Macaca mulatta: one gene and its partners. The protein of the gene in region 2 purifies or fractionates together with the protein of the main gene of each other region. This does not show direct contact. Links are inferred from orthologs where the notes say so. Each region holds a gene or a part of one and is shown on either strand. Other genes may lie near its edges. The genes, in order: SMARCC2, DPF2, ACTL6A, SMARCD2, SS18, SMARCD1 and SMARCC1.

Evidence for each region.
Region 1: the proteins of DPF2 (region 2) and SMARCC2 purify together in Homo sapiens (affinity purification with mass spectrometry; 8 studies listed by BioGRID and IntAct, counting the BioPlex papers as one, with this or other methods). This does not show direct contact. The link is inferred for Macaca mulatta from reciprocal best matches to the Homo sapiens genes DPF2 and SMARCC2.
Region 3: the proteins of DPF2 (region 2) and ACTL6A purify together in Homo sapiens (affinity purification with mass spectrometry; 5 studies listed by BioGRID and IntAct, counting the BioPlex papers as one, with this or other methods). This does not show direct contact. The link is inferred for Macaca mulatta from reciprocal best matches to the Homo sapiens genes DPF2 and ACTL6A.
Region 4: the proteins of DPF2 (region 2) and SMARCD2 purify together in Homo sapiens (affinity purification with mass spectrometry; 6 studies listed by BioGRID and IntAct, counting the BioPlex papers as one, with this or other methods). This does not show direct contact. The link is inferred for Macaca mulatta from reciprocal best matches to the Homo sapiens genes DPF2 and SMARCD2.
Region 5: the proteins of DPF2 (region 2) and SS18 purify together in Homo sapiens (affinity purification with mass spectrometry; 4 studies listed by BioGRID and IntAct, counting the BioPlex papers as one, with this or other methods). This does not show direct contact. The link is inferred for Macaca mulatta from reciprocal best matches to the Homo sapiens genes DPF2 and SS18.
Region 6: the proteins of DPF2 (region 2) and SMARCD1 purify together in Homo sapiens (affinity purification with mass spectrometry; 9 studies listed by BioGRID and IntAct, counting the BioPlex papers as one, with this or other methods). This does not show direct contact. The link is inferred for Macaca mulatta from reciprocal best matches to the Homo sapiens genes DPF2 and SMARCD1.
Region 7: the proteins of DPF2 (region 2) and SMARCC1 purify together in Homo sapiens (affinity purification with mass spectrometry; 9 studies listed by BioGRID and IntAct, counting the BioPlex papers as one, with this or other methods). This does not show direct contact. The link is inferred for Macaca mulatta from reciprocal best matches to the Homo sapiens genes DPF2 and SMARCC1.

Annotation. Positions count from the first base shown.
Region 1 is NC_133416.1:63,339,511-63,343,454, forward strand, and holds the start of SMARCC2 (SWI/SNF complex subunit SMARCC2), read right to left. Parts: upstream 2,801-3,944; 5' UTR 2,789-2,800; coding exon 2,678-2,788; intron 651-2,677; coding exon 531-650; intron 1-530. UniProt on the Homo sapiens protein: Involved in transcriptional activation and repression of select genes by chromatin remodeling (alteration of DNA-nucleosome topology).
Region 2 is NC_133419.1:9,062,655-9,066,885, reverse strand, and holds the start of DPF2 (zinc finger protein ubi-d4), read left to right. Parts: upstream 1-1,431; 5' UTR 1,432-1,442; coding exon 1,443-1,474; intron 1,475-4,231. UniProt on the Homo sapiens protein: Plays an active role in transcriptional regulation by binding modified histones H3 and H4. Is a negative regulator of myeloid differentiation of hematopoietic progenitor cells. Might also have a role in the development and maturation of lymphoid cells.
Region 3 is NC_133407.1:91,585,643-91,589,142, forward strand, and holds part of ACTL6A (actin-like protein 6A), read left to right. Parts: intron 1-1,301; coding exon 1,302-1,396; intron 1,397-1,699; coding exon 1,700-1,806; intron 1,807-1,899; coding exon 1,900-1,989; intron 1,990-3,500.
Region 4 is NC_133421.1:73,636,762-73,641,035, forward strand, and holds the start of SMARCD2 (SWI/SNF-related matrix-associated actin-dependent regulator of chromatin subfamily D member 2), read right to left. Parts: upstream 2,801-4,274; 5' UTR 2,412-2,800; coding exon 2,118-2,411; intron 1-2,117. UniProt on the Homo sapiens protein: Involved in transcriptional activation and repression of select genes by chromatin remodeling (alteration of DNA-nucleosome topology).
Region 5 is NC_133423.1:66,321,113-66,325,256, reverse strand, and holds the start of SS18 (protein SSXT), read right to left. Parts: upstream 2,801-4,144; 5' UTR 2,721-2,800; coding exon 2,652-2,720; intron 1-2,651. UniProt on the Homo sapiens protein: Appears to function synergistically with RBM14 as a transcriptional coactivator. Isoform 1 and isoform 2 function in nuclear receptor coactivation. Isoform 1 and isoform 2 function in general transcriptional coactivation.
Region 6 is NC_133416.1:57,257,752-57,261,693, reverse strand, and holds the start of SMARCD1 (SWI/SNF-related matrix-associated actin-dependent regulator of chromatin subfamily D member 1), read right to left. Parts: upstream 2,801-3,942; 5' UTR 2,644-2,800; coding exon 2,467-2,643; intron 1,846-2,466; coding exon 1,658-1,845; intron 1,370-1,657; coding exon 1,327-1,369; intron 1,238-1,326; coding exon 1,115-1,237; intron 631-1,114; coding exon 508-630; intron 1-507. UniProt on the Homo sapiens protein: Involved in transcriptional activation and repression of select genes by chromatin remodeling (alteration of DNA-nucleosome topology).
Region 7 is NC_133407.1:110,954,493-110,957,619, reverse strand, and holds part of SMARCC1 (SWI/SNF complex subunit SMARCC1), read left to right. Parts: intron 1-847; coding exon 848-1,024; intron 1,025-3,127. UniProt on the Homo sapiens protein: Involved in transcriptional activation and repression of select genes by chromatin remodeling (alteration of DNA-nucleosome topology).

The DNA of each region.
Region 1 (3,944 bases), on a different chromosome or scaffold from region 2:
TGAAATTCTTTAACCCTTGTGCCATTGCATCATGTGGCCTGCAAGAGGGGAGTGAAAGAAACCAATATACAGAAAGCACCACCTTGTGCTAACACTTTACTGGATTATCTCAGGTGCCATTATAGAAACCCTACAAGGTAGGTTTACTAATCCCATCTAGAGATGAAGGAACCAAGACTCATGAATGCTGCCCAAGATCACACAGCCATCAAGTAGCAAAGCCAGGATTTGAACACAAGCCCACACAAATCCAAATCTCAAGTCCGCTTTTAACCATGCCATGAGAGACTTGTGGACTGATCCCAGGCACTCTGAAATAATTTGTTGCACAAAGTATTACTAAGACAAAAAGAATGGTAAACTGGAGACTAGGCCAAGCCAATAATGCCCTGACCAGGGATAGGGATGGTAGAAAATAACCCAAATTTCAAAAATTACAAAATTCACGAATCTTTTTTTAAAATACAACTCTCCAGTTTGGTGGACTCACCACCACCACCCCCCGCCCTCTCTCCTACTTCTGCACTCACCGGCAGTTTAGTGAGCGGTGCATTGCTGACATGTTTGCCAAAAACTTCTTCCTGAAATTGTAGTAACTGTACAACCAGGCTAGACAGGGACTTGTTGGTGGGTGGTTCAGCTTGTATATACTAACGGAAAAGAGGGAAAGGAAAGAAAAATAGATCTCAGATAAATTGTCCACTATCTTCCACATTTCTCCCCCAGGGGCTCTGGAAGTATCTGGAGCAAAGAAAACAGTGCCTTTCTCCCTATTTAGTCTCTATAAAGAAAATGGCAAAAGGGAGGCTCTGGACATCCCAACCAGGAAGCTGAAATTCTGCTGTCACCAGCCCAGATGGCCAGTGTTGGGGAGAACAGGGAAGCTTACTACTCTTCCTCAGCTACACTCTGAAATTAGAGTTGCAGGACCCTATTATCTTGGCACCTCATCCTCAACCAACAGCACTGAGGGTTGTTAAAATTCTGGAGGTTTATAGAGTTCAGATCATGGAAGCAATACCTTTGGAGCTCTAAGAGAGACATTTCTTAGGAGAACTCTGTGTAAAGCCATGATTCCCCCTATAATGTAGCCTAACAAGAAAAGGTACAAGGAAGTGAAGGAGGGCAAGCTGACTGAGAGTGAGCCTGTGCATTTTGCTCCTGAAGACTGGGTATAAAGTTCTTCATAAGCCCTCCTAGACAGGAAGGGCCTCACCAGCCTGATGGAGAAGAGCAAGAAAACATCTACCCTGTCTGAGGAAACTGTATCCGAGACAAGTAACCCTGGCTCTACCTCAATATTTCCACACTTCGCTACCTAGTAGCATCCTAGCCTTCCATTATAATTTGAACCTGAGCCAGGAGACTTTCTTTTTACCTTTTGACCCGTTTTCTCCCCCCTCATCACAAAGAAGACAGCGCCTCTCAGTGAGAGGTGAAGAGAGATAGATATGTGAAGGGAAAGGTAAATGACAAAGAGCTAAGAGCACGGAAGCTGAACCAGGTCACAGTTGTCAATCCCCACCAAGGCCGGAGGCTCAGCCCCTAGCTTGATCTCCCTGCAAAAGGTCAAAGCAAGAGCCTCTCACAGGCATAGAAACAAGCCATAGAAATAGCAGCTATTTGTCAAGATTCTGACACCCAGAGAGACCCCAAGGGCAGGGCTAGGCTCATAATCAGGATCAGTAGGAAGTTCTCCTAAGCCACTAAGCACACTTCTGACGAGCTGCAAAGCCGGCAGGAAGAAATGGGGAGCTGAAAGAAAGCCACAAAGAGAACCCCTCTCTGAGGGTAGTGAGAAAAAGAGAGGCAGACTATTTCCAGGGAAAACCAGGCCTAGAGACAAAGACGACACCACGAAGAGGTCTAGTAGAAAAGACAGGTAAGGATTCTTAAACCCTTTGTTCACTACCTTATGATCGCCAGTTATGGGGTTTCGGGGTGAGGGGCTAGAGATAGAACGCTCACCCTAACCTCTTGACCCCAAACCCACGGTACTGCAAAGCTAGGTTGCAGGGTGACTTCACTGCAAAATCGAGGAAAGGTTTTGGAAGGGGTCGCTACCCAGGAACTCCTATACCCCAGCTCCCTGAGAGATTCTGTTGCCTCTTAGATGAAGGTGGGGGATGAGCGGCGGAGACAGGTGATCCCTGGGTGGGGACCTTTTTCAAGCTGATGAGCAGCCAACGACTTGCTCTGTGACTGTTTACCCTCCTGCTTTCCATCCTCTCTCTGAACATACACAAAGCACCGGGGAGGCCTCAGCCCCACCGGTACCCGGCTCCATGGGGAGCTCTGGCGGGCACGTTCCGGGTTGCGGGGGAACCCATTGGGCACCCGGTCCACACCCGGCCGGCCGCCTCTCCCAGAAGAGCCAGGAGGGCGATGGCTGAGGGGAAGGTGGGCTAATGGCACCGGGGCCTGCCGGGCAGTAGAGAAAAACAAGGGGCAGAGGGCGCAGCAGTGGGGGCGGGGGCTAGGCTCGGAGGCTAGGGGTGCGGGGAGAGGGAGGCTGGGGGAGGGGCGCGGGCGCGCGGGAGGGCGCGCGGGGGGCTGCTCCGAAGGCCGCAGGGGAGGGGCTGGGGCGCCTGGAGGGTGGGCAGGATCCCGGAGCTGCAGGGCCGCGGTCCCTTTGTCCCGCCCCCGGTCCCCGCGCGGCCCGGCCCGGCCCGCGTACCTTCTTGTAGTTCTTGCCGAGCCACAGCCGCACGTTGTCGAACTGGGTCACGGTGTCCGCGGCCTCGTAGTACTTCACGTTGGGGCCGCCGTCCTTCTTCCGCACCGCCATCTTCTCGGGCTCGGGCCCCGCCGCCGCCCGCCCCACTCAGCTCAGCTCCCGCCTCCTCCGCCTCCTCCTCCGCCCGCCTCCCGCCGCCTCCCGCCGCCGCGGCCGCCGCCTCCCGCCGCCTGGGCCGGCCCCGGTCCGCGCTGCGCCCCCTGCCGGCAGGCCGGGCGCGGCGGAGGAGCTCCAGGCGCGGGCCGACCCTGGTGGCCTACCCGGCAGCGGCGGCGGGAGCCTCCGGGGAGAAGGACTCTTCCTGGAGGGGGCGCCATTCTCCTGAGATCCCTCTTACCAGACGCGAAGCCCTTCCCTCTTTTTGCCTCAGCCCGTTAGTGTCACCTCGCTATCCCACTCCAGGCGGCCGCCAGTCGCTGGAGCAGCCCCAACCCGTTGCCCCGAGTGGCCCTCACCTTGCGCATTCCTAATCCGACGGAGCCCCTCGTCCCCCAAAACCCCAAAACCCTTTCCCCAAGAAGTTCCTTCCTTCCATCCATTCCCAGCATCTCCCCATTTAAACTTTTCTGAGTCTCCCTCACCCCTCGCGCTTGTCCACCCAGCAACCCCTTCACTTGTTAACCCAAAAGTCCCCTAGCCGCCACCTTGGGGACCCAGTGCCTTCCTCAACTGCTTCCTCCGCTGGCCTCGCTGTCACCTCCTAAGTAGGTGTGAGCTCCTTGAGACTCCGACTCTTCGCTAGGCAGGAGACCCTCCTTCCCTGGGTCACCCGGTCCATCCGACTCTTTTTCTCTGGGTGGCGTAGATAGGAGGTAAGGAACCAAGGGGTGGGGAGTCCTCAGGTGAGTGCGCGTCGAGGCCGGTACCCTGCTTCCGGTTCCCGCATGTAGTCCCCGATTGCAGTGCGGACCCCTTCTGTAAGCGCGCGGCAAAATGCGGTTTTGGAAGTCACGGTGGCCGAGTGGTTAAGGCGTTGGACTCGAAATCCAATGGGGTTTCCCCGCACAGGTTCGAATCCTGTTCGTGACGGCTTTTTTTTTTTTTTCTTTCTTATTATTAAGACGGAGTCTCGCTCCGTTGCTTAGGCTGGAGTGCAGTGGCGCGATTTCGGCTCACCGCAGCCTCCACTTCCCGGGTTCAAGCAATTCTCCTGCCTTAGCCTCCCGAGTAGCTGGGACCACAGGCATGCGCCACCACACTTTTTGCG
Region 2 (4,231 bases):
CCAACGGTGTAATGGGGGTCGACAGGCCCATGAGGACAGAAAATAGATCTCTAAATCTGCTGAAAGGGAGGTCGTGGTGACAGGAGCTGTTTCAAGTGAACAGGTGGGAACAAAGTTCCCATTAAACTGGATGGAAGCGGGACCTAGAAACAAGGTAACAGAGATAGGGAGTACTATTTGCTTTTAAAGGGTGAAAAGAGGTGATAGTTGAAGATTGACTTGGGCTGTTTTTTGGTTTTTGGTTTTTGGTTTTTTTGAGACAGAGTTGGCTTTGTTGCCCAGGCTGGAGTGCAGTGGCACAATCATGGCTCACTCACCTTCGACCCTCCTGTGCTCAAGCAATCCTGTCACTTCAGCCTCTAGAGTAGCTGGGAACACAGGTGCACGCCACCACATCCGGGTAATTTTTAAATTTTTAGTAGCGAAGAGGCCTCGATATGTTGCCCAGGCTGGTCTCGAACTCTTGAGCTCAAAGCAATCCTCCTGCCTCTGCCTCCCACGGTGCTGGGAGCCACTGTGACTGCCCTCCTCCTGCTCTTTTTTTTTTTTTTTTTTTTTTTTTTTTTGAGACAGAGTCTCGCTCTGTCTTCCAGGCTGGAGTGCAATGGCATGATCTCAGCTCACTGCAACCTCCACCTCCCAGGTTCAAGCGATTCTCCCCCTTCAGCCTCCCGAGTAGCTGGGATTATAGGTACCTGCCATCATGCCGGGCCAATTTTTGTATTTTTAGTAGAGATGGGGGTTTCACCACGTTGGCCAGGCTGGTCTCGAACTCCTGACCTCAGGTGATCCACCCGCCTCGGCCTCCCAAAGTGCTGGGATTACAGGCCTGACCCACCGCGCCCGGCTCCTGCTCTTATTTTTTTATTTTATTTATTTATTTTTTTGAGACCGAGTCTGGCTCTGTCGCCCAGGCTGGAGTGCAATGGCGCAATATCGGCTCACTGCAAGCTCCGCCTCCCGGGTTCACGCCATTCTCCTGCCTCAGCCTCCCGAGTAGCTGGGACTACAGGCGCCCGCCACCACGCCCGGATAATTTTTTGTATTTTTAGTAGCGATGGGGTTTCACCCTGTTAGCCAGGATGGTCTCGATCTTCTGATCTCGTGATCCGCCCGCCTCGGCCTCCCGAAGTGCTGGGATTACAGGCGTGAGCCACCGCCCCCGGCACCGCCTCCTGCTGCTCTAAATAGAAGAGGCGGCCCTCGAACCGAAGCTCCGGGACGCACGCCAGTCTCCGGTTGCGCCTGCGCGTCGGGCTCCCGTGGGGTCCTACCCGGCCCCCGGGAACAGGCCTAAAGTTCTTTCTTCGGTGCTCGCTCTCGTGCGCGCGCCCGGACGGCGCCTGCGCAGAGGGCGAGGAACCTGGTACCCCGGTGCGGTCCCGGCGCCTGCGCGCTGCGGACTTTGGGGCCTCCCGGCCCGAGGGAGAGGAGCAGGGAAGATGGCGGCTGTGGTGGAGAATGTAGTGAAGCTGTGAGTGGTGGTTTCTTTCTCTCCTAGGGCGGCAGGTTTTGTAAAGGGCCTGGGAGTAGGGGGCTGTGGGGAAAGGGACTAGGCGGAGAGAGGGACATCCCCGGGAAGGCCATGTTGCGACTCCTGGTGGGGAGGGCAATAGGAGACTCCGGAGAAGACGTTGCGCTTCTTTGGAAACTTGTGGAGGCCCTGATGGGGGCACACTGGAGCCCCGACGGGCAGCCTCTCTGCTGGGCTGTGTGGCCTCAGCGTTCCTCGGGGCTGACGGTTTCCAGAGCATGGCGCCCTGCCTGCACGCGAGACTCACCGTCCCGGTCCTCTCCCGAGACGCCTCAGTCCGGAGGAGCGGGGCCGAGGCCCGGGCGGCCCCACGGCTAACCCGCCGCCCATCCCGCCCCGTCCCGTCCGCTGCAGCAACAGGCTCGGTGGCCCCTGTGGGGTGCACTGCGGGGCTGGCTGTTTCAGTTCCAAGCAGCCCCGTGATGTTTGGGAGGATCTTGGGTGGCAGGTACCTAAGACTACAAATATTCTTGGGAAGCATTTGTCGAGGAGCGGATCCAAAAGGGGAGTGGGCCTTGGCGCCTTCCAGTGGCAACCATCAAAAACCTGCAACTGAACCAAAGCCGTTCAGGACAGCTTAGTAGCCTAAAGGGGCATCTAAGTGGGCATTCTTCCTATGATGCGATACCGTTGTGCTGGTCAGATTTCAAGCAAAGTTAAAGTTAATAGCTGTTGGGGCCATGGACACTGACCTATGAACTGCTTCCTGTGAGTTAAAGATACTTTGGGACTGACTTGATTTATTCCTACAGGAGAATCAGAATGAGTTTTAGATTGGGTTAATGCCCGGTGGGCGAATAGAGCTTCTTTTAATGGGTATATTGGGCTTGGTGCAAGGGTGGGAAAATTGAGTGGTGTCTAACTGTCCAGTCAGGGTTTTTGGATTTTGGCTGGGTGATGAGGTAAAGGTTCGGTAAGTATTCTAAGGGACTCACAGCTTCTCATCTGTCTTTGTCGTGGCCTGAGCCCCTCTCTTCCTAGGGGCCTTTTTAAAGAGTAAGTTGCTTCTCCCTCCTGCCTGAAGCCTTTTCTTTGAGAATGCTTTCCCACTTCCATTAAGCTAAGTGCCTTTCCTCCTCTTGTGGTTTTTTTTTTAAGTTGCTTTCTGCTCTATCCTGCTGTCTCTTTCAGCCACCCCTCCTCCCAACACTATTGTCTTTCTGATCTGCCCACTCCAGTTTCCCCAGCTCTCTCTTCAGGCTGACATTTTTCTCAATTTAGAAATGACACTGTTGATCTACCATTTATCCAGTTATCCTTTCTGACTCAGATGTTCTTTCTTTGTTTCCCTGTGTCTTTGTTGACTTCCTTCATCCCATTGTAAGGGGATGTTTTACACAAGTTTCTCCAAAAATAAAAAGAAAGATTCTCATTGTACTGGAGGAGTATCAGACTTGCCTAGGTTTTGAGAGTTAAACGTAGTGAGGCTCTTTGTGTTGGAAGGTTTTCCTCGGGGAAATAGGGTTGCCAGTGCTTTCAAGTTGTGTCATAAGTGAGGGGTTGCCCATTTAAACAGAGCATGACATCTTGTTTCTCTTTGAAAAACTGTAGAGGTTGTGAGCATCACCAGCCACTAATTCCTGAATGCCAGTAATGAGAAACCAACTCTCTCCTCCTCATTTCTAGCTGCACAGGGCCTCAGATCACAATTAATACGTACTCCCGCAGAATTATCCCTTTAAGAAGGGGCTTCCATTCTTCCAGTTAATTTGGAGATAATTTTCTGGCACTTCTCTTGATTATAGTGTACGTAGTCTTCTGACAGCTGATGTTATACATTGAGTATGTTGAGGTCGGACCACTGGCTCATCTTTTCTTTTTTTTAATTTTTTTAGACAGAGTTTCGCTGTTGTTGGCCCGGGCTTGAATGCAGTGGCACGATCTTGGCTCACTGCAACCTCCGCTTCCTGGGTTCCAGCAGTTCTCCTGCCTCAGCCTCCCGGGTAGCTGAGATTACAGGTGCCCACCACCACACCTGGCTAATTTTTGTATTTTTAGTAGAGATGGAGTTTCATCACGTTGGCCAGGCTGGTCTTGAACTCCGGACCTCAGGTCATCCACCTGCCTCGGCCTCCCAAAGTGCTGGGATTACAGGCGTGAGCCACCGCGCCTGGCCTTAAGAATTTTCTTATTTGTAAGTTTCTGTCCCTGCCAAATGTGACGTCAGAAATGGAAGTCTTGGCTGGGTGCAGTGGCTCACGTCTATAATCCCAACACTTTGGGAGGCTGAGGCGTGCTGATCGCTTGAGGTCAGGAGTTCGAGACCATCCTGGCCCACATGGTGAAACCCCATCTCTACTAAAACTATAAAAATTAGCCAGGTGGGGTGGCACACACTTGTAGTCCCAGCTACTCGGGAGGCTGAGGCACAAGAATCGCCTGAACCCAGGAGGCGGAGGTTGCAGTGAGCTGATGTCACACCACTGCCCTCCGGCCTGAGTGACACTTTAAGACTCTGTCTTAAAAAAAAGAAAGAGGCGACTGGGCGCGGTGGCTCTGTAATCCCAGCACTTTGGGAGGCCGAGGCGGGCGGATCACAAGGTCAGGAGATTGAGACCATCCTGGCCAGCATGGCGAAACCCCACTCTACTAAAAATACAAAAATTAGCTGGGCGTGGTGGCGTGCGCCTGTAATCCCAGCTACTCGGGATACTGAGGGAGGGGAATCGCTTGAACCCAGGAGGTGGAGGTTGCAGT
Region 3 (3,500 bases), on a different chromosome or scaffold from region 2:
CCACAGCATTAGGTGGAAGCTATTTCCAGGATTACTGAAGCACATCCTCTTGTCTGCCCATTCTTTACACTGTTGATCTAATAATCTTTCTATTTTTATTTATTTATTTATTTGGTAGAGATGGAGTTTCACCATGTTGCCCAGGCTGCTCTCTAACTCCTGGACTCAAGCGATCTGCTTGCCTCGGTCTCCCAAAGTGCTGAGATTACAGGCATGAGCCACCATGCCCAGCCTCTAATAATCTTTCTAAAGTGCTAGTCTGCTTTAAGCTAGAATCATCTTCTACATTTCTTCCTTTTACTTTCAGACCGTACTGAGGTGCTTGCAGTTCTCTGACCTCGCTGTGTTCTCTTGCCTCCTGGTCTTCCCACATGCTCCTACTCTTGCCCATATTCCCTTCCCCATAATTAACAATTGGATATCCCAGGAATAGGCTTCTCTTTTACACCACCACCTTCCCTGGGACATCGTGAGCTTTTCTTTTTACAGCTTTATTGATCATCTACTTCACTAAACAGGATAACCTTCAGGGAAAAGGCAGTTTTGGTGCACCATTGTGTGTCTACTGTGTTAAAGGAATTTTAGTGCCAGGTGAGCAGCCTCCCTCTTTCCTCCCTCCCTCCTTATTAAGCACCAGACTTAGTAGACACCTAATAGATGCTCAGTAAATATTTGATGAATGAGTGAATGCCCCTACTCCTAAACTTCAGTTTAGTATATTCAGGTAGTATAGGCCTTCTGCAGCACAGAATGTGGAAAATGGGATCTGCCAATATTCACCAGCTGTGGAATTCACCTGGCATAGTTTTCCTGCCCATTGAGTTAGAGGAGATAGGAACTGCCATATGGCTTTGCCAAACTGCTGAAACAGGTCCTCTTCAATGCTATGTGAGAATGGTTATAGTCCCTAGCTCAGTTGTCACAACCTCCCACTGTTCTTACCAAGTTTCTGTACATTTTGTTAAATAAATGCATCTCAGTTTGTTGTAAGCGCTTTGATCAGTCTCCAGAGACTTTCAATGATTATGTTAATTTTGACCAGCTTAATAGTAGCTGTTTCTAGGATAAAGGTTTCCCTGAGTTCCTGATACCTCCATTCTAGAATTCCTGCCTCTTGCTATTTGTTCTTAAGCCATAAATATTATTTTATACCAATTTTTATCCCTAGATTCACTGTAATACATTTTTAACTATGAGATAGATGTTTAAGAAATAGTTTCTGAAATATAAGAGCCTGCCCTTTACAATAAACATTATTTTAGCGGCCTTGATACTTTCTTTTCCTTAATGTTTTAAACTAGATTTGCTAATGGTCGTTCTACTGGGCTGATTTTGGACAGTGGAGCCACTCATACCACTGCAATTCCAGTCCACGATGGCTATGTCCTTCAACAAGGTAAATGTATTTAACCAGGATACACTGAGATGATTTTAGGTGTTATGAGGACGCACATAATGAAATAAAATGATGAGTAGCACTTTTAAAGCATATCAGTTTCTGAATAAGATCATTTTTAAGTATGTTAAAAATCTTTAGTATATAATGTGTATTTAAAACTGATGCATTGCTTTATTTATGTGTTGAAGGATAGTTCATTTACCTGAAAAAGTTATTCATATAAATACACCCGTAGGGGAAATTCGTTCTAGGAAGTTTGGACTTAACTGCTCTCTTAGCCTTGTCTCATCTGTTTCATAGGCATTGTGAAATCCCCTCTTGCTGGAGACTTTATTACTATGCAATGCAGAGAACTCTTCCAAGAAATGAATATTGAATTGGTTCCTCCATATATGATTGCATCAAAAGTAAGTATTGAATTTTCTTTCTAGAACTTACCTCTAGCTCCCCCACCCCTATGAAATGAACTCCATTAACATAGCATCTCTTGGTACTCTCAGGAAGCTGTTCGTGAAGGATCTCCAGCAAACTGGAAAAGAAAAGAGAAGTTGCCTCAGGTTACAAGGTCTTGGCACAATTATATGTGTAATGTAAGTAACCCTCATTCTCTTTACAAAAATGTTATAGGCTTTTTGCGTGAGTGTTAAAAAAAAAGTTATATATAGGCTGTAAATCCTTGAGTAAAATATGAGCACTTTATATTTTCAAGCTCTTTTTTTTAAATTACTAAATATATTTTGAAGATTAAATAGAGCATGATCTCAGGATTACACTCTATATTTTTAATGATACTTTACTAACAAAAGAGCTTTGCTGTGAGAGGCATGCTTTTCATATTTGCCAAACAAATGTCTCTGCAAATCACTACATATTCACTTGGATTACTATGGTGAGACCTGGAAGGAATTTTTGTTTTATGCTATTCTGAACATTTTTGACTGAGAAAATGGTTTTAGGTTTTGGAGAGGCCTACTAGTATGTCTCAGTTATGTTCTGTTTCCCAGCATCAGTCAGCCATATCAAAAATGTGTTTTTGTTCAGAACAAGGAACCCATGAGAGATTCTCTACTAAAAACCCATCTCTGAACATATGGCTTACTGATGGGGAAGAGGTTAGTAAAACAACCTGACACCACAGATACACCTTAATTTCTTTTTGTTTTGTTTAAAAAAACTGTTATTTTAGGTTCAGGGGTACATGTGCAGGTTTGTGATATAGGTAAACTCGTATCACGGAAGTTTGTCATACAGATTATTGTCCCCCAGGTACTAAGCCTAGTACCCAATAGTTATTTTTTCTGCTCCATTCCCTCGTCCCTCAGGGAGGCCCCACTGTCTGTTGTTCCCTTCTTTGTGTCCATGTGTTCTCATCATCTAGCTCCCACTTGTGAGAACGTGCTGTGTTTGGTTTTCTGCTCCTGCATTAGTTTGCTAAGGATAATGGCCTCTAGCTCCATCCCTGTTCCTTCAAAAGACATGATCTCATTCTTTGTTTCTTTTTTTTTTCACTGTGGTCTGTATATACCACATTTTCTTAATCCAGTCTTCCACTGATGGGCATTTAAGTTGATTCCATGTCTCTGCTATTGTGAATAGTGTTGCAGTGAACATACGCATACATGTGTCTTTATGATACAGTGCTTTATATTCCTTTGGGTATATACCCAGTAATGAAATTGCCGGGTCAAATGGTAGTACTGGGCCAGGCATGGTGGCTCACGCTTGTAATTTGAGAGGCTGAGGTGGGTGGATCCCTTGAGCTCAGGAGTTAGAGACCAGCCTGGGAATCATGGCAAAACCCTGTCTCTACAAAAACAGAAAAATTAGCTAAGTGGGGCCAGGTGCGGTGGCTCACTCCTGTAATTCCAGCACTTTGGGAGTCCGAGGCGGGTGGATCACCTGAGGTCAGGAGTTTGAGACCAGCCTGGCCAACATGGTGAAATCCCGTCTCTAAAAATATTTAAAAATTAGCTGAGTGTGGAGGTGGGCTACTTGGGAGGCTGAGGCAGGAGAATTGCTTAAACCCAGGAGATGGATGTTGCAGTGAGCTAACATGGTGCCACTGCACTCCTGCCTGGGTGACAGAGTGAGACTCCATCTC
Region 4 (4,274 bases), on a different chromosome or scaffold from region 2:
TGGACTCAGGCAATCCTCCTGCCACAGCATCCCGACTAGCTGGGACCATAAGCGCACACCACCAAGTTTGGCTAAATTTTTTTGGGTTTTTTTTTTTGAGAAATTATGGTCTCACTATGTTGCCTAGGCTGGTCTTGAACTCCTGATCTCAAGTAATCCTTCTGTCTGGGCCTCCCAAAGTGCTAGGATTATAGGTGTGAGCCACCACATCCTGCCCTGGAGGGTTTTTTGTTGTTGTTTTTGTTTTAGGTTCCTCTGTTAACTGTGATCCACAGCCAGAACCACCCTCTGGAGGAAGGGAGGTCATCACTTCCCTTCTTTCAACTATTTGTTCAGCTTGGGCCTCAAATTCTCGCTTTTCCAGCACATCTCATGAGCCCTAACAGACAGGAACCCCTCTGTTTCCCAGATCTCAAGTCCCCCCTGGAAGTCATACAACTGGACTTGGAAAGAGAGCAAGTAGGATCCTCTTCAAACTCAGCCAAAGTTAGCTGGCTGGGTTCTCTGTACCATCTACCTCTCCTGCCAGGAGGAGGAAAGCTAGTGGGATGGGAAACCCAGACTCAGGGCCATCTCCTACTTCCCCACAGCTAGCAGCCCAGGCCTAACCAGCCAGCCAGCTTGGCCTTGCCACAAGCCCAAGGCCACCCCCCACCAAACATGTGGAATCCATTCTCTTAGGGGCTGTCTCAAGGGCACATTTCCTATGACTTTTTGCATGCCAAGGAAACTGGAGCGGCTTGTCTGTTCCAGGTCCTTCCAAGGCCAAAGGCCCACAGATGGTGCCCAGGCCAGGTCTCAGTGGGCAGGCCCAAGGGCTACAATGACTGATGCAGGGAGCCCTCAGCAACACCCTGGGCCCATGAATCCCCAAGGGGGAGAGTAGGGTGGGAAAGATGAGCCCCAGCTGGAGTCCCTGGGACCAGGTCTGTCTCTGCCCATATCCAGACTCTGTTTTCTCTTGAGAAAGGAGGAAGAATGAGGAGGAAGAAGGGAAAAAAATCCAGTCACTGTCCCTAGTTAAGCCATCTCCTTAGATGTGAGGCCCAGTGGGGCAGGTAGGCTGTGTATACTCCACGAGGATCCCTAAGGACCTCCGCCTGGAGACAGGAGTCGAAAACAGAGGAAGCCCACAGCAGACCCTGGGAGAAGCCAGTGTCAAATGCTGGGGCATATGGCTTCGGATGTGGCGGAGTTAGAACCTGAAGGCCAAATAAAAATGCAGAGAGGATGATAAGGCAGATGGGCACAGTTTCCAAGCCTGCTGGTGCAACCTGAACAGCAGACTAGGGGACCAGCAGGGTCAGGCTGAGGTTCTCACACACTGAGCAGAAGTCGCTGCCTTCCAAGGGCTTTTGAAGCTGAAACCTGAGCAGCTCTCAAAACCCCAAAGGGGTCAGGACAGCACTCTTTGAAGCAACTCTCGCAGACTCCTCGGGCCCCAGACCAGCAGGGTTCCACTCTGCACGTCCAGACTAATCAACTACCCGACACGATGACAGGAGGCAGAAAGCCCAGAAGAGAGCCGGCCTGTGACTAGGCTGGGCCTCCCCTCAAGCCTGGCCACCACCGTCTCTGGTCTAAGCTGGAGTCCTCCCCAGCGAAGGCGCCTGGCCCTGCCTCTGGAGTAAAGTCCGCCCGTGCACAAGCTGGAATGAATCCCCTGGCCCTAGCCTCAGCGTCCCGTGCCCGTGGGAAGCCAGGCTCCTTCCTCCTCATTAGCAGCCGGGAGCCATCTCAGACACGCTAGAGCTCGGCCAGTTCGCAACCAGAAAAAACAGGGCAGACTTGGAGTGGGACCAAGGCCGATGCAGGGTAACCCCGGTTTCTCAGCGAGGGCCCTTTCCCAAACTTTCTCATCACTTTCTAGCCCTCCTACCCTAGACTTCTCAACCCACCCGCCCACAATTCACTGGTTCCCCAAACTCCTCCATCTCCCAGTCACTCGGAATCTCTGTGCCGCGGAAGCCCCCAGGCCTCCCAGCTGGTTCCAGCCCTCCGCTGCAGGACTCGCTCCCCCTTCCCCACTCCTCCACCGCCACCCGCCGCAGCCCGAGGGATCTGGCCCGCCCTCCACCGTCTCCCAAAGTTCCTCATGCATTCCCCAAGGCCCTCACTCGAGGCCCCCTCAGCCCCCGGCCCGGGCGCCCTCGCGGCGCCGCACGCCCCCGTCCGCTCGCGTCCTCCCTACTCACCTGGTACTGCGCCGCGGGGCCCGCGGGGCCCATGGGGCGGAAGGCGGCGGCCCCGGGGCCCCCCACGCCTCCAGCCGGACCCGGTCCCCGGAGCGCCGGTCCGGGCAGCATGCCGGGTCCGGCGGGGGGAGGAGGCGCTCCCAGGGCCGCGGCCACGGCGCCGCCGCCAGGGCTTAGCGGGGGCAGCGGGAACCCGCCCGCGCCTCGGCCCGACATCGCTCCGTCCCGTCCCGCGGTGCCGCGATCCGGACTCCGGGCTACGCGTCGAGTCCACTCCGCGCTCTGTACTCCGCGATCCGGGACTTGGCGATCTTAATTCCGGGTTCCGGGATTTGTCGATCCGGGCTCCGGGATTTCCTAATCCAAGTTCGCGAGTTCCTCACAGACCCGGTTCGGGACAGATTCCGCTCCTGCGCCGGAGATTCCGGATCCAGGATCTGCTGTGGGCCCGCCTGCCGCCCCCGGACTCCGGAGGTTTGGCCGCCCGAGTCGAGTTACCCAGAGGCGGCTACGAACTCCCTGCCCCGCCCAACCCAGCCCAGCACTAGGCCCCGCCTCTACCTGGTGCCCAATGCTCGAGTGCCTCCTTGAATCCCGCCCCTCGCGAGACCCGCCCCCAGCAGGCACCGCCCCTAACCGCCGACCTCAGAGTCCCACCCCCCACCTTTGGCCCCGCCCTTCATCGGAGGGGCGGGAGCGGAAGCTGCGCGCGGAAGCGCCGAGTGAGGCGCGGGGTCAGAGGTCTAAGGTCACGTTGAGGCTTCACAGTGAATGAGCAGTTGCTACTACTCTTTCCCGGTGTAGCAGCCTCACCGAAAATAGTTTTGTCAAGTCTCCTTTCTGCATCTTCCACATTAAAGACCCAACTCAGAGTCGGTAGCGGTGGCTCACGCCTGTAATCCCAGCACTTTGGGAGGTTGAGGCGGGTGGACCACCTGAGGTCAGAAGTTCGAGACCAGCCTGGCCAACATGGTGAAAACCCCGTCTCTACTAAAAATACAAAAATTAGCCGAGAGTGGTGGCTGGCGCCTGTAATCCCAGCTACTCGGGAGGCTGAGGCAGGAGAATCGCTTGAACCCGGGAGACAGAGGTTGCAATGAGCCGAGATCTCTCCACTCCACTCCAACCTGGGCGGCAAGAGTGAAACTCCTCAAAAAAAGAAAAAAGACTCAGCTGCTCTCTGGGGCAGAACAGCAGCCAACTCAACTTCCTGTAAAAGCTCATCCTGGTAGCTCGGAACTGCCAAGGGACCTAGGAGGCTCCAGACTTGACCCAGCTGGTGAATGGTCGACTTGGCCAAGGCTGAGCTCTTACAGCACATTTTTAACGTGGCTCTGCCTCACTATAAGGAAGCCTGGTACTTTACTCCCCAGCAAATGCTTCTAGTCAAAAGAAATTTGGCTTATGAGAAACCTCCCCGCAGTTTAAAAAGAGGTCTTTCTCTAGTATTTATAGCACTTAATTTTCAAAAATGCAGTATCTTTTCAGATACACTGTGCTGTATCAAAGTATTCAAAAATGCTTCAGCTGTCCCTTTGATGGTCTGGGTCTCCTCACCGTGATACGGCCCAGTGCTGCTTAAACCCTAATGAGCACATAAAAAACACCCGAGGCTCTTATTAAAAATGCAGATTGTGGCAGGGCCCAGGACTCTACATTTCTAACAAGCTGCCAGCGATGCTGTTGCTTCTTAGACCATACTGTCAAGAAGCCAGGATCTAGACTTTTTTTTTTTTTTCTTTACTATAATTGGTTTATTTTTCAGCCCCCACCAAGTAATGCTTCCTTTCTTGCATCATAGCACCCCAGATATTTTTTATAGTTTTCCAACGCTTTTTAGAAATTAGTTCTCCTCCTGTCTCTAGCGATAAACCCCACTGCTGCTGCTTTCTTACCTCCTGGACTTCTCAGAGATACCACTCTATTGCCCCAAGAGTTGATAACCTGTCAGTCTGGGGACTGGTCACTGGAATTGTTAAAGTCACTGAATCATGGCCCCTCCCATCCCTGTAAAGTGGGTTAAGAGTTCATGATAAGGCAACTAATATACATTTCAATCCTTTTTAAGCTTCTAGAACA
Region 5 (4,144 bases), on a different chromosome or scaffold from region 2:
ATTTAAAGCAAGATTAGTGAATCAGCAGCTCTCTTGCATAAAATTTCATTACGTACTGTTTAAATCTCTTGTAAAATTATGCCATGCACAGTTCATATGGACAATGTTTTCAGTAACTGAGTTTTTTTCCCTTCAGATTTCTAGAAATATTGCATCTATACAGAAATTGAATCCTCTTGGGTCTTTTTAATATATACGATAGCTCACCACAAAAAAATCCTAATTTTACACCTTTGGAATGATACCATGTTTAATCAATAACGTTTTAATATTCCAATTATTCTCCCTCTGAATAAACAAGCCCAGAAACGAAAATCTGAATTCTTTTATATCAAACATTTAATTACCTCTGCTATCTGTAATAGAAGCTTTAGCCAATTAAGACTAAAGTTAAGAGTCCGAGTTGGCTTTTCATCATTCTAATGGTTTGGATTAGTAAAGAAAAATTCTGTACTTCTCCAGAATGAAATAAATACATGAAAACTTCAGCCCAGGAGTCTTGATGAAGTAACTGGCTAGTTTCCAAGTTTTATAACAGCATGGTTTTGTGATTCTCCAATTATGAGATAATAATTAAACATAGTAATTTCTATGCATGTATAATATTTGTTACAGACTTTATGAGTTTACTTCATAATTACGCTGTCTCAAAAGTTTAAGAGGAAAAAGATACCGATTTATCATTCCATCATCTTTTAACAATTCAAAGTAATCTTGGCTTTGAGGGTTAAATAATTCATCTAAGTAAAGTGGAGCTGAAGAAAGAGTACTGATTGTAGCAATTAAAAGGCCAGTTAGTTTCAGTGCCAGTTTTGCCATTTTGAGCAAGTCACTTAAGTTTTCAGAGGCTGATTCAGCTCCAAGATCAAGGGACTCAGGAGATGCTCCTCCAGAACCTGCCCCACCCTACCAGGATTCAAAAGTATTAGTACAATACCATAATCACTCTATCTCAATAAAAGGAACATCCATTTAACATTAACTGTCACTTTTTTTCTGCACGTGAATCACAATCTTCACTTACTGGGGGAAAAAAACCACTAACATGATCTACTAATAAATGCAGTTATTTCTTAGATAGAATCATTGTATGACCAAAAAAAGTCTTTAAAATGCACGAATCAAATCCTCAACCTAATGATTTCACAACTTATCTCCAGTATATTCCTCAAACTACTGAACGTCACCATTAAAATATGTGTCTCACATCTAATATCAATCTCTCCCATTGCAGAATAAGGAACTTAATTTGGAGCCCATGTTTCTGTTCAGCTGAGAATGGAAAAAAATTGATCACCATACTCGGAATTAATCATTATCCATGATAAATATCTTAAGACGTATGTAAGAGAAACTATAGAAAAAAGAAAAACTCTGGACTTTTCCTGTGTACAAAAATAAAAAAAGGTGAACCCCCCAGAAACGCAGTTTTGGGTAAGTGTGTACTTGGAGCTGTTTGCCAGGCTGTAGACTTAACTCAGAGTACTATATGAAAGCACTGCATTTCCAGGCACTGCCAAGCCCGTTTGTTCATAAAATAAAGCAACAGTTGGGCAAATGTCAAAAGCCACACTACGAAGAACCTGACAGTAAACAGAAACCGATTAGCACAATCTATGTGGTCTGAGTGGTACTAAAACTTGACCTTTTTTTCTATTTTGATCTTTGCTACACGGCATAAAACAAAACAAAAATATTTAAGGTAAACTGCTAAATATAGCAGCAACTTTTGAAAGCCTAGGTCAGTAAAATTTAGAATGCTGCCTTGCTAGTAGGCAACAAGGGGTAGAGGACAATAAAGAACCTTTGTGTTCCGACAGGCAGTAACACAGCAGCGACTGTAGCAGCACTATCCTTTAAAAAGGAGGCAGCTCCCTCTGTATTTATCACGACTTATATTAACTGGTTACGACAGAAGTCTCCACCACTAGACTGTAAGCTCCAGGAAGGCAGGGACCATGACTCACCACAGTCGCCTCAGCGCCTAAAATAGGCGCTCAATAAATACTTGCTGCAGAAGTAAATGAATAGGCGGCGATGTAGAAGGGAAGAGGCGGCTCTGGGGATAACCTCAGAGTCCATGGGGACCTTCCTTGCCCGCTCCTCAGACTCTACTAAGGTTCCCTCCAGCGTTCCCCAAGTTCTCCTGAGAGCTCCCAAACTCGGCTGAGTTTGCAGGGCAGCGACCTGCGCTCCGACTTCCCTCCGCCAGCAGCGGCCCGCGGTGGGGTCCGCACGAAGCAGCCGCGGCGCGCGGGGCGGGACGACGCCAAAGTAACTCCGGAGCAACGCGCGGGGCCCGGCCCGACACACGCCCTTCCCAGCGCGGCCGCCGCCGGGCGCACGCGCCCCGCCGCCCGAACGCCGCCCCATCCCTAGAGAAATCAGGCGGCGGCTGTTTGGGCTTTTGTGTCTGTAGAAAAGCGCGTAAACGCGCGAAAGACTCCGAGAAAAACCGGTTCACCCTCTTCCGCCACCAACTCAGGCACACGCCGCAGCCCCGGTTCCCACACACGGCTGCTTCCCAGCAGGCCCGCCTCCGCCTCCGCCCCTGGCCCGGCCCGGTCGACTCCGGGCCCGGCCCTTCCCCCCGTGTCCGTCTCTCCCAGAGGCGGGAAGGGCCTGGCATCCCCAACCCCGCGCGGTTTCACCTTCTGAATCGCAGCGGGAGTGATCTCCCCCTTGCCTCGCTGCCTAGGGGCTGCGAAAGCCACAGACATGTTGCCGCCGTCACCACTATCAGCAAGTCCGGAGCGCTCCGGGTGAACGGCAAACTGGGGGAGAGACGCCGGCCTCTCGGGCTGAACCACCTCGGGAATGCGGGAAGGGGGGATGCTCCAGGGCCAAGCGGACGGCCGGCGGGGCAGGCCTGAAGGAGGCACTCTGGCCCAGGGACGTCTCGTTTCTGCGCACTCTGGGGGACCCGCAGCCCCGGCCGAACTTTCTTGACCGTCCTCGCATCCCCCGACCTCTCCTTGTGGGCACCCCCTGGCCTTTCGCGCTAATGGTAGAGTCGCGCCCTAGTCCTCCCTCCGCTTCAGCGATTCAGGAAATGGTCCCGCCGCCGCGGGAGAGGGAGAGGCTGGGGCAGCCCCTGTCACAGGAAATGCGAGCGGCTCGAGCCGGCCCGCCCCCTTCGCGCGGTTGCAACTTGCCTCCCCCGCCGCGCTCTGAAGCGTCTCCCCGACTGCGTTGCGGAGCGTGCCCTAGACCTAGTTCAGTTGTTCCAACTTCATCCTTACTTACGCCTCCTGGCAAGAAGTCGCTGCCCCGAAATGTCCGGGCAGCCCGGAGAGGGGAGGAAGGTCAGCACTCGGGAGTTCGTGCCAATCCGTGGAGCATCTGCCGAGATAGGACAGAGGTGGAAGGATAAGGTGAACGCGGATTCGCTGGTTTAAATGGCTCGGCTACGCCCCAAATGCGCACCTCCGAGTCCACAGTCTCGCACGCACGCACAAAGTCGTGCATAACAATTGGAAAGTAACCCTGACCCGAAACCGGGACACCAAGGTTGTGTCCAGTGCTCGGGGGCAATCGGCCAACTTGGCTGGAGCGGACAGAGAAGAGCTCGCCTCGTGGTACAAACCCTTAGCAGGAAAGTGGGTCGATTTCGTCTGACTTGGCTCTTTGGAATTAAGTTGTGAAACAGGGCATCCTCACTCTCTGTTTTTTAAGAGTGCTTAGTGCCTTGTAAATTAGGCCCAAGCTGCCAGGCTTCAAGTCAGTGTAAGGGAAAAAGGCAAAATTTTCAAATTACGGAAGGAACACGGACAAATGTCGGTTTTGTGTTGCCGTGGGGTTTTAAAGTATTCTGTAAATTTAGAGTTCCATATAACACAAAGGGAAAGTTTATATAAAGTGTTACACAACGTTAATGAATAATAAAAAATAAATATTTCCATTTTTCATATAAATTGGAAAAATAAAGAAAAATACATTGTTTTAAAAATGTAATCACTTGAGGCCAGGAGTTTGAGACCAGCCTGGGCAACAAAGTGAGACCCCTGGCTCTACGAAAATTTTAAAAATTGGCTGAGTGTGGTGGTGTGCACCTGTAGTTCCACCTACTCGGGAGGCTGAGGTGAGAGGATCACTTGAGCCCAGCGGGTGGAGACTGCAGTAAGCCATGACTGCCCCACCGTAC
Region 6 (3,942 bases), on a different chromosome or scaffold from region 2:
GAGGAGCTTCTGGGTTGGGAAGTTTGGGGGCTATCACCTGTCAGCTGATGCTCCCCAGGAAGCAACAAAGAGCCTGTCAAGAGAAATCTATCCTACTTAAAACTATGGGGTGCCTCCAATGAAAGTTGAGAAGATGGAGATACCACAAGAACTCAGAGAGGAAACACGGCCTCAAATTAAGTGCAAACTCGACTAAAAACAAAACAAAACAAAAACTAAATAATCTACAGATACGGCTAAATCCAATGGCCAGCAGCACCAAGAGGAAGGTAAATCACAAATCAGATCCCAGGACAATAAGGTTCTCCATATGATACCAGTGAAGGCCAAAGGTGTGGGGGCAAACACAAAGGACCATTGTCTTTCAGTGCAGGGAACAGTGTCCCTCTCCCTACTGCTCCCAAAAGGAGCTGTGAGCACCAGTTAGGCTTCCTGCTGACCAGACAACACTGTTCATTCCCAGCAGCTCCCACCCTAGATGCCAACCACTGTGGACCTTGAACTCACATCCTCCAGGAGCCGTCCTTCTACCCGAAGCTCCCAGGAAGCCACCGTCCCTTCCCCATCCTCGGCATCTGACTTAGCCGGATTGAAAGTGTTAGAAATGAAAATTCGCAGCTTCCGTTTTTGCTGAGGAAGGCAGAAACAGGATTGATCGTGGGGCTTCAGTGGTCTAATGTTGAAGACAAGAGTCTCCCCAAACCCCAAAATTATTCCTAACAGACTGGCTTACTGTCTACCCAGTCCCTTGGGTGGGTGGATGAAGATTCCATTTAGAAGAGGAGTACTGGCCATCAGCCTAAGTACAAGTGCATACAGTGGGATGCCAGGTGGACAAAGTCATGCAAGGTGCCAGGTTCCCAAGGTAGCAGAGCAGTTACAGCAAAAACATGGACAAGGGTATATTTGTAGTGCAAGAGACATCAAGAGCCCCTCCCCCTTTGCCATTCTGTTCTTATCCTCCTAATGTAATTCTCAGTTTGTAGGCGGAAGGGAAAGATACAATTTAAATGCCAAGGAGAGTTGTGCTGTGCCTTTGATTTCTCATCCTAAGCCTGCTGAAGGTTCCTGGGTCCTCTCCTTTGGCTCTCTGCTTAGTAACTTCCTGTGTTACCTTGATGGGACGTTTCAAGGCCTCTTGGATATCTAGTCGTTTCCTCATGATAGTCTGGTCCAGTTTCCTTTCAAAAGCCAAGAGATCCATATAGGCCTGGGATTCTGGTACCAGTTCACGAATCTTAGGAACAGAAAAATTAATTGAAATCTAGGATGATTCATCTCTATACTCAAACCTACCACACTTTCCAGAAAACAGCCTGGACTCACCCTTTGAGGTAGAATTTTGTCAGCCATCTTCTTTTTCTTTGCACTGTTGGGAATAAACACTATTATCAGGTTGGGACAGAACTAGTCAGAACGTGAAAATAAGCTGTCAGCATGTCCATTTATAGTAATGTGAAGGGATTGCAAAGCTTCTCTCAAATCAAAGAACTACCACCACCACCACCACCACCACCACCACCACCACCAAGCATTCTCAATCATCCTGTAGCACCATCTGCTGACACAGCACCACCACTTCTTGGTTCAGGTAATCCCACCACCTGTGTACTCCCAGGCTCCCTCCCTCCCTCCCTCTGCCCCAGGATCATCTTACTTGTGGTTTCGATTTTGGACAGCCTGCTGCTGGACCTGCTGGATCTGCTGAGGGGCAGGTCTCTTGCGGGACTGATCCATCCCTGACTGGGCCAGGCCAGGTCGGACTGAAGGGTTCCCCCCATAGCCAGGGGGTCCCATGGAAGGTCCCTGAGGTGTCATTCGGCTGCCTGGCAACATACCTGGTCTCTACAGAGGGGAGAGGACCCAGAGATGTCATGGTTTCACCTGCTAAACCCCACCAAGAAAGAAAAGCAGGGAACGCCTGAGTTCTTTGAATGAAGTAAGGTTTACGGATGGAATGGAGGACAATGAGACGAGAACCCTCTGCTCCAGCAGTGACTCCACAGAAAAATAAAGAGTCCAAAAGCTAAGCGAGAGCCAGATTATACTCAAATTATCGGTCTATTTTGGATCGGACACATCGGACATCGCCAGTTCCACATTTACTCTGCTAGCTACTATCTCTTTAGAAGCTGACCTCAATTTGTCAACTACACGTTCTGTGTTCCTTTGATCAATGGAGCTGCTCAAGCCCCTCTGCACTCCGGCCCTCGTACAGGTATCCCTGGACCCACTTCACCCACCCTGGTTCTCTACCGACTCCCCACGGAAACAATGCCCCTAGGAGCAGGTGTGGACGCCAACTGCCTCCCCCTCTCTTCCTGCGCACTGCCTCCCCCAACCCCCACCCAGAGCCCGAACCCCTCCCAAGGGAGTCCCTCCTACTTCTCCCCCCACCCCTGTCACTCCCACGTCCCCGCTCGGCCCCGCCCCCGGCCCGCGCGTCCCTCCTCCTGCCCCACTCACCGGATAGGCCGCTCCGGGCATCGGGGAGCGGTACAGCCCTTGACCCGGAGCCGGGCCCATTCGCACGGGAGGCCCCGGAGTTCCGCCCGGGCCCAGGGCAGCAGCCGCGCCCGCCCCTCCCGAGGCTCCGGCGCCGCCGCTCGGAGCCACAGACTGGAAACCCGCCCGGGCCGCCATCTTCCCGGAGCCGCCGATGCAGCTGCACAAAGAACCGGAACCGGAACTCCCCCCGCCCCCTGAGCGCCCCCCGAGCGCCCGCCTGTTCCCCCGGCCGGCTGGCCGGCACGGGAGGCTCAGGGCAGCGAGACTGTCGCCTAGAGAGGAGCGAGTAGCGGAAAAGGCGTGCTGGCCACGCCCTCCCGCCTTCACGGTCCTGGAGGGAAAACCATAGAGAAGAACTCTGGGATAGAGAGGCCCCGTGAGCGGGCGCCCCCAGGCCGACGGGAGGTAGACAAGGACCTGGAAAGGGGGACGGACCACAGCCTCAGCCCCAGTCTCAACCCCGACTCCAGCCCGCTGATGATGAGGTGCTTGGAGTAATAGCTTCATCTTGGCGCATGGCATTAACTTCCCAAAACGCTTTGATTGCTTTTCGTTTCATTTTCTTACTGCTATAACTATCAGGGGCTGAGGAGGGAAACACAGTTTATTCCATTTTCCAAATAGGAAAGCTGAACTCACAGGTGAACGACTTGGCAAAGGTCAACCAGCAAGTTAGTCATAAAGCCGAAGCCAAGATTCCAGGTCTTCTTGCTCATAGCCCAGGACTCATTCCACAGATAAAGTGCCTCAATAACTACCTCACGTGGGAACTTCAACCTAACTTTGTCTCCGACCTAACCTGCTTCCGGATTATTATTATTATTATTTTTTCGACATGAGGTCTCTCTTTGTCACAGTGGCACCATCTCAGCTCACTGCAACCTCCGCCTCCCAGGCTCAAGTGATCCTCCCACCTCAGCCTCCCGAGTAGCTGGGATCACAGGCATGCACCACCATGCCAGGCTGTTTTGTATTTTTGGTAGAGACAGGGTTTCACCATGTTGCCCATGTTGGTTTCAAACTCCTAAGCTCAAGTGGTCTGCGCGCCTCAGCCTCCCAAAATGCTGGGATTACAGGTGTGAGCCATTGTGCCTGGCCTCAGATTTTTTTTTAATATTAAAAAATAGGGATGGGGGTTTCATTATGTTGCGTAGGCTGGTCTCGAACTCCTGGCCTCAAGTGATCCGCCCGTCTCAGCCTCCCAAAGTGTTGGGATTACAGGCGTGAGCCACCGTGCCAGCCTGCTTTCAGATTTTATAATAAGTTCCAGTTTATCTTGAATTTTGACTCTGCTCTCTCTCTAAAGCATTGTTTGTGATGGGGATTCTGTTTTGGACCTTTGTTGCCTTTGACTCCTCCCTCTTTCCCTGCCCAGTGGTTCAAACTATTCCTGATACGATGGTCAGCCGTCCCATCCCAGGAGGACCACAGTCT
Region 7 (3,127 bases), on a different chromosome or scaffold from region 2:
TGGGGCACCTGTAATCCCAACTACTTGGGAGGCTGAGGCACGAAAATTGCTTGAACCCAGGAGGCGGAGGTTGCAATGAGCTGAGGTCATGCCACTGCACTCCAGCCTGGGCAACAGAGTGAGACTGTCAAAAAAAAAAGAAATGAAATGAAAGGAAGGGAAAGGGAGAAAACGGTAGGAAGAGATGGAGCTGTCTGTGTTTTCCCATATGAGTCTATCAGGCGAGTGCTTCATAGTAACCTCTATAAGGAATGATTTTTTTTTTTTTTTTTTTTAAATCATACATGAGGCTTTTAATGGGAGAAATAGTTGTGGACAGGAATTGGGGATTCAAATCAGAATCCCCTTTTAATGGTGATTTCGCAGTACTAATACCCTTTCAGACAAACCTTCCCTGTAAGCCATGGAGCACAATCTGGACTGAGTTGTGGTCCTTTTACTGACTTTTACTTACTGACTTCCTTTTAAAGTCCTCTCCATTCCCTGTGGGCTGTGCTTGGCATTGTATATCCTCAGGAAGACATTTGACAATCTACTGCTCACCCAAACTAACCAGAGTGAGTGCTTTATTTTAGGGAACCTTTGCCATTTCTTTTTACAGCCACCTTCTTGCCAGTGTTTAGAATAATCAGTCATTCCACAGATCTACCCCCATTAACACCCTCCTCCAAAAAACTCAGAATACAAAAAGCTAGACGTAGAGATTATTACAGATTATTGCTCTGTTGGTATTTCAGATCCTCTGGAAGGTTGGATATTTATCTGTATTTAGGAGTTGGATTTAAGTTGATCCCTTTCTTATACCCCTTTCTAGTATACTTATAGTACTTTAAATCTCCCTCCACAGGTCAGATACCAGGCCCAGGTTCCATGATGCCCGGGCAGCACATGCCAGGCCGCATGATTCCCACTGTTGCAGCCAACATCCACCCCTCTGGGAGTGGCCCTACCCCTCCTGGCATGCCTCCAATGCCAGGAAACATCTTAGGACCCCGGGTATCCCTGACAGCACCTAACGGCATGTGTAAGTAACACGGTAGGGGGATGCATTATCCCAGGGTCTGTCCTGGAGGGCTGTAGATAAGGGAAGGAGGCTTTGTTCTCTCCCCGAGATTTGGCAGGTCCATGGATGATGCAGTCTGTGACAGTGGCTTCTAGAAGACCAGTTTTCAGTCTTTGTTCTTAGGCACCCCGATGGACAGGTGCACAGATGACAAAATGCTTCTAATCAGGGTTGTGCCTTTATGGCATGCACTGTCGGCATTGGGGCCAAAAAGATATTCCTCTGTTTAAGCCTGTCTCATTATGACTCTCAACAGACATGTAGAGCTACTGGTGGTGATTTTCCCTACAGCAGCCTTTTGTGGATACAGGGTTCAAAAGTGATGTGTGTAAAGAAAAGAAGTGAGTTTAGAGCTGGAATAACATATGTTTCTTGTAGCCATTCTTGATGTATTAGTAGTGGCTGTGTAGGCTAAGAAAGTAGTATTTGGGGTCTGTGTTGAGAGGAAATACGAAGTCCCAGCAAGCTCAATGAAGAAAGCACTGGTGCTGCTAAGTGATAGTTGTCTGAGGCTGTGTTTAGAGGCCAGGTCATTTCTCCCATAGGCTCTTGCTCGGCTTCAGCCTTGGCCTGAGGGTTGTTTCAGAGACCCTGGCCTGCCTTTTACTCCAGAAGGTCTTCCCAGTGAGGATGATGCTGAAATGCAGCCAATAGTGGGTCGGGTACCCCAGCCACATCTGTAATCTTAGGTTCATGTAGAAGTTCACGTGTGGCCAAAAGTTTAGCTACTATTTATAGTTCAGAAAGATAGGAAGCATAAGAATTCTTGCTCTGTAGGAGCTTTAGTTGGGAAAACAAGAAATGAAAACTTGGATAGAACTTAGCAAATGTTACATGAAGGCATATAGAACTTACCATAGGTTACATGAGACTACGATGTGCCTTAAGTACACTGTAATACTCTGGGAGGTTTCACAGACTGAGACGTGTCTTACTCTTCTCTGGCCCCCAGAGTCTGGGACAAAGTAGATACACAAAAGAAAGACACTAATTTATCTAGGTATATAAGATCACAACAATTTTTTTTTTAATTACCTCCCTTAAGCTAGTGGTCAGAGGTTGTATAGTACAGTTGGTACCTCTTTTTCTTGGCAAGAAAATGTTTGCCAAGCCACCCTGCAAACCGTACATAAATGAACCCGCCTGTCAGGAGAGTTGACCAGTTTTCCATCCCTGTTGCAGAGGTAGTGTCACTGGTCTTTACCAATTTACCACTGTCATGCCCTGCTGGTCACGCATGTTTTGCACTTCAGGATTCCTTCCCAAAGGGACCTCAGTAGAGCTCGTTGAGAATGTGGAGGGTTTCAGGTGGAACCTTCCCACCTGCTGCCTGGTTCCTACCATAAGTCAGTGCTCTGGGAATTCTGAGCCATGTGAATTGGTTCTAGGATACTAGGTAGGCCACACTGGATGAGTTGCTTCTCCACTTCAGCCCTTCATTTCCTCCACTGAAAGATGACACAAGGGATTAGATCAGTGAGTTTCAAAATGCATTGAAGAGTCTTAAGGGTTTGGTAGAAACCTCTTGGGCATAGAGTTGGGTGAATTGATTGGTGAGCAAGGCTGCACTTTGTTTCATATGTTTTCAATTCTGGCAAGATCTAGGGGTTTTTAAAACCCAGATTAAATGATCTCTAGGGTTCCTTTGTACACTAAAGCAGCTAAAGTTGACATAGGAAAGAGTCCCAGACACTCATACTAATTGTTCCCTTCAGGACATGACCTAGTTTGGGCCAAAAATCGAAGGACTGCAGTTCAGGAGCTGTGGAGGCCTCCCTGGACTATCCAGTTTGTCAGCAACTGCCTCAAGTGAAGCTCTCTGGCCCTGGTGGAGACATTTAAATAGCAAGAATTTATTGATAATCTCTTGTGTGCCCAGCTAGGCTAGGGACTTATGGGAGAAAGAAAAATAAGACATAGAACTGTCCCAGGAAGGAGCTTATTATTTAACTGAAGAAATAAAATTAGAACCATTGAAATACAATGAAATCAAAATTAACTTCTGAACAATTCGTGGAAGGAGTTGGCCTGGAAGGAGGGTGGGGGAAATTCAGACACCTCCCA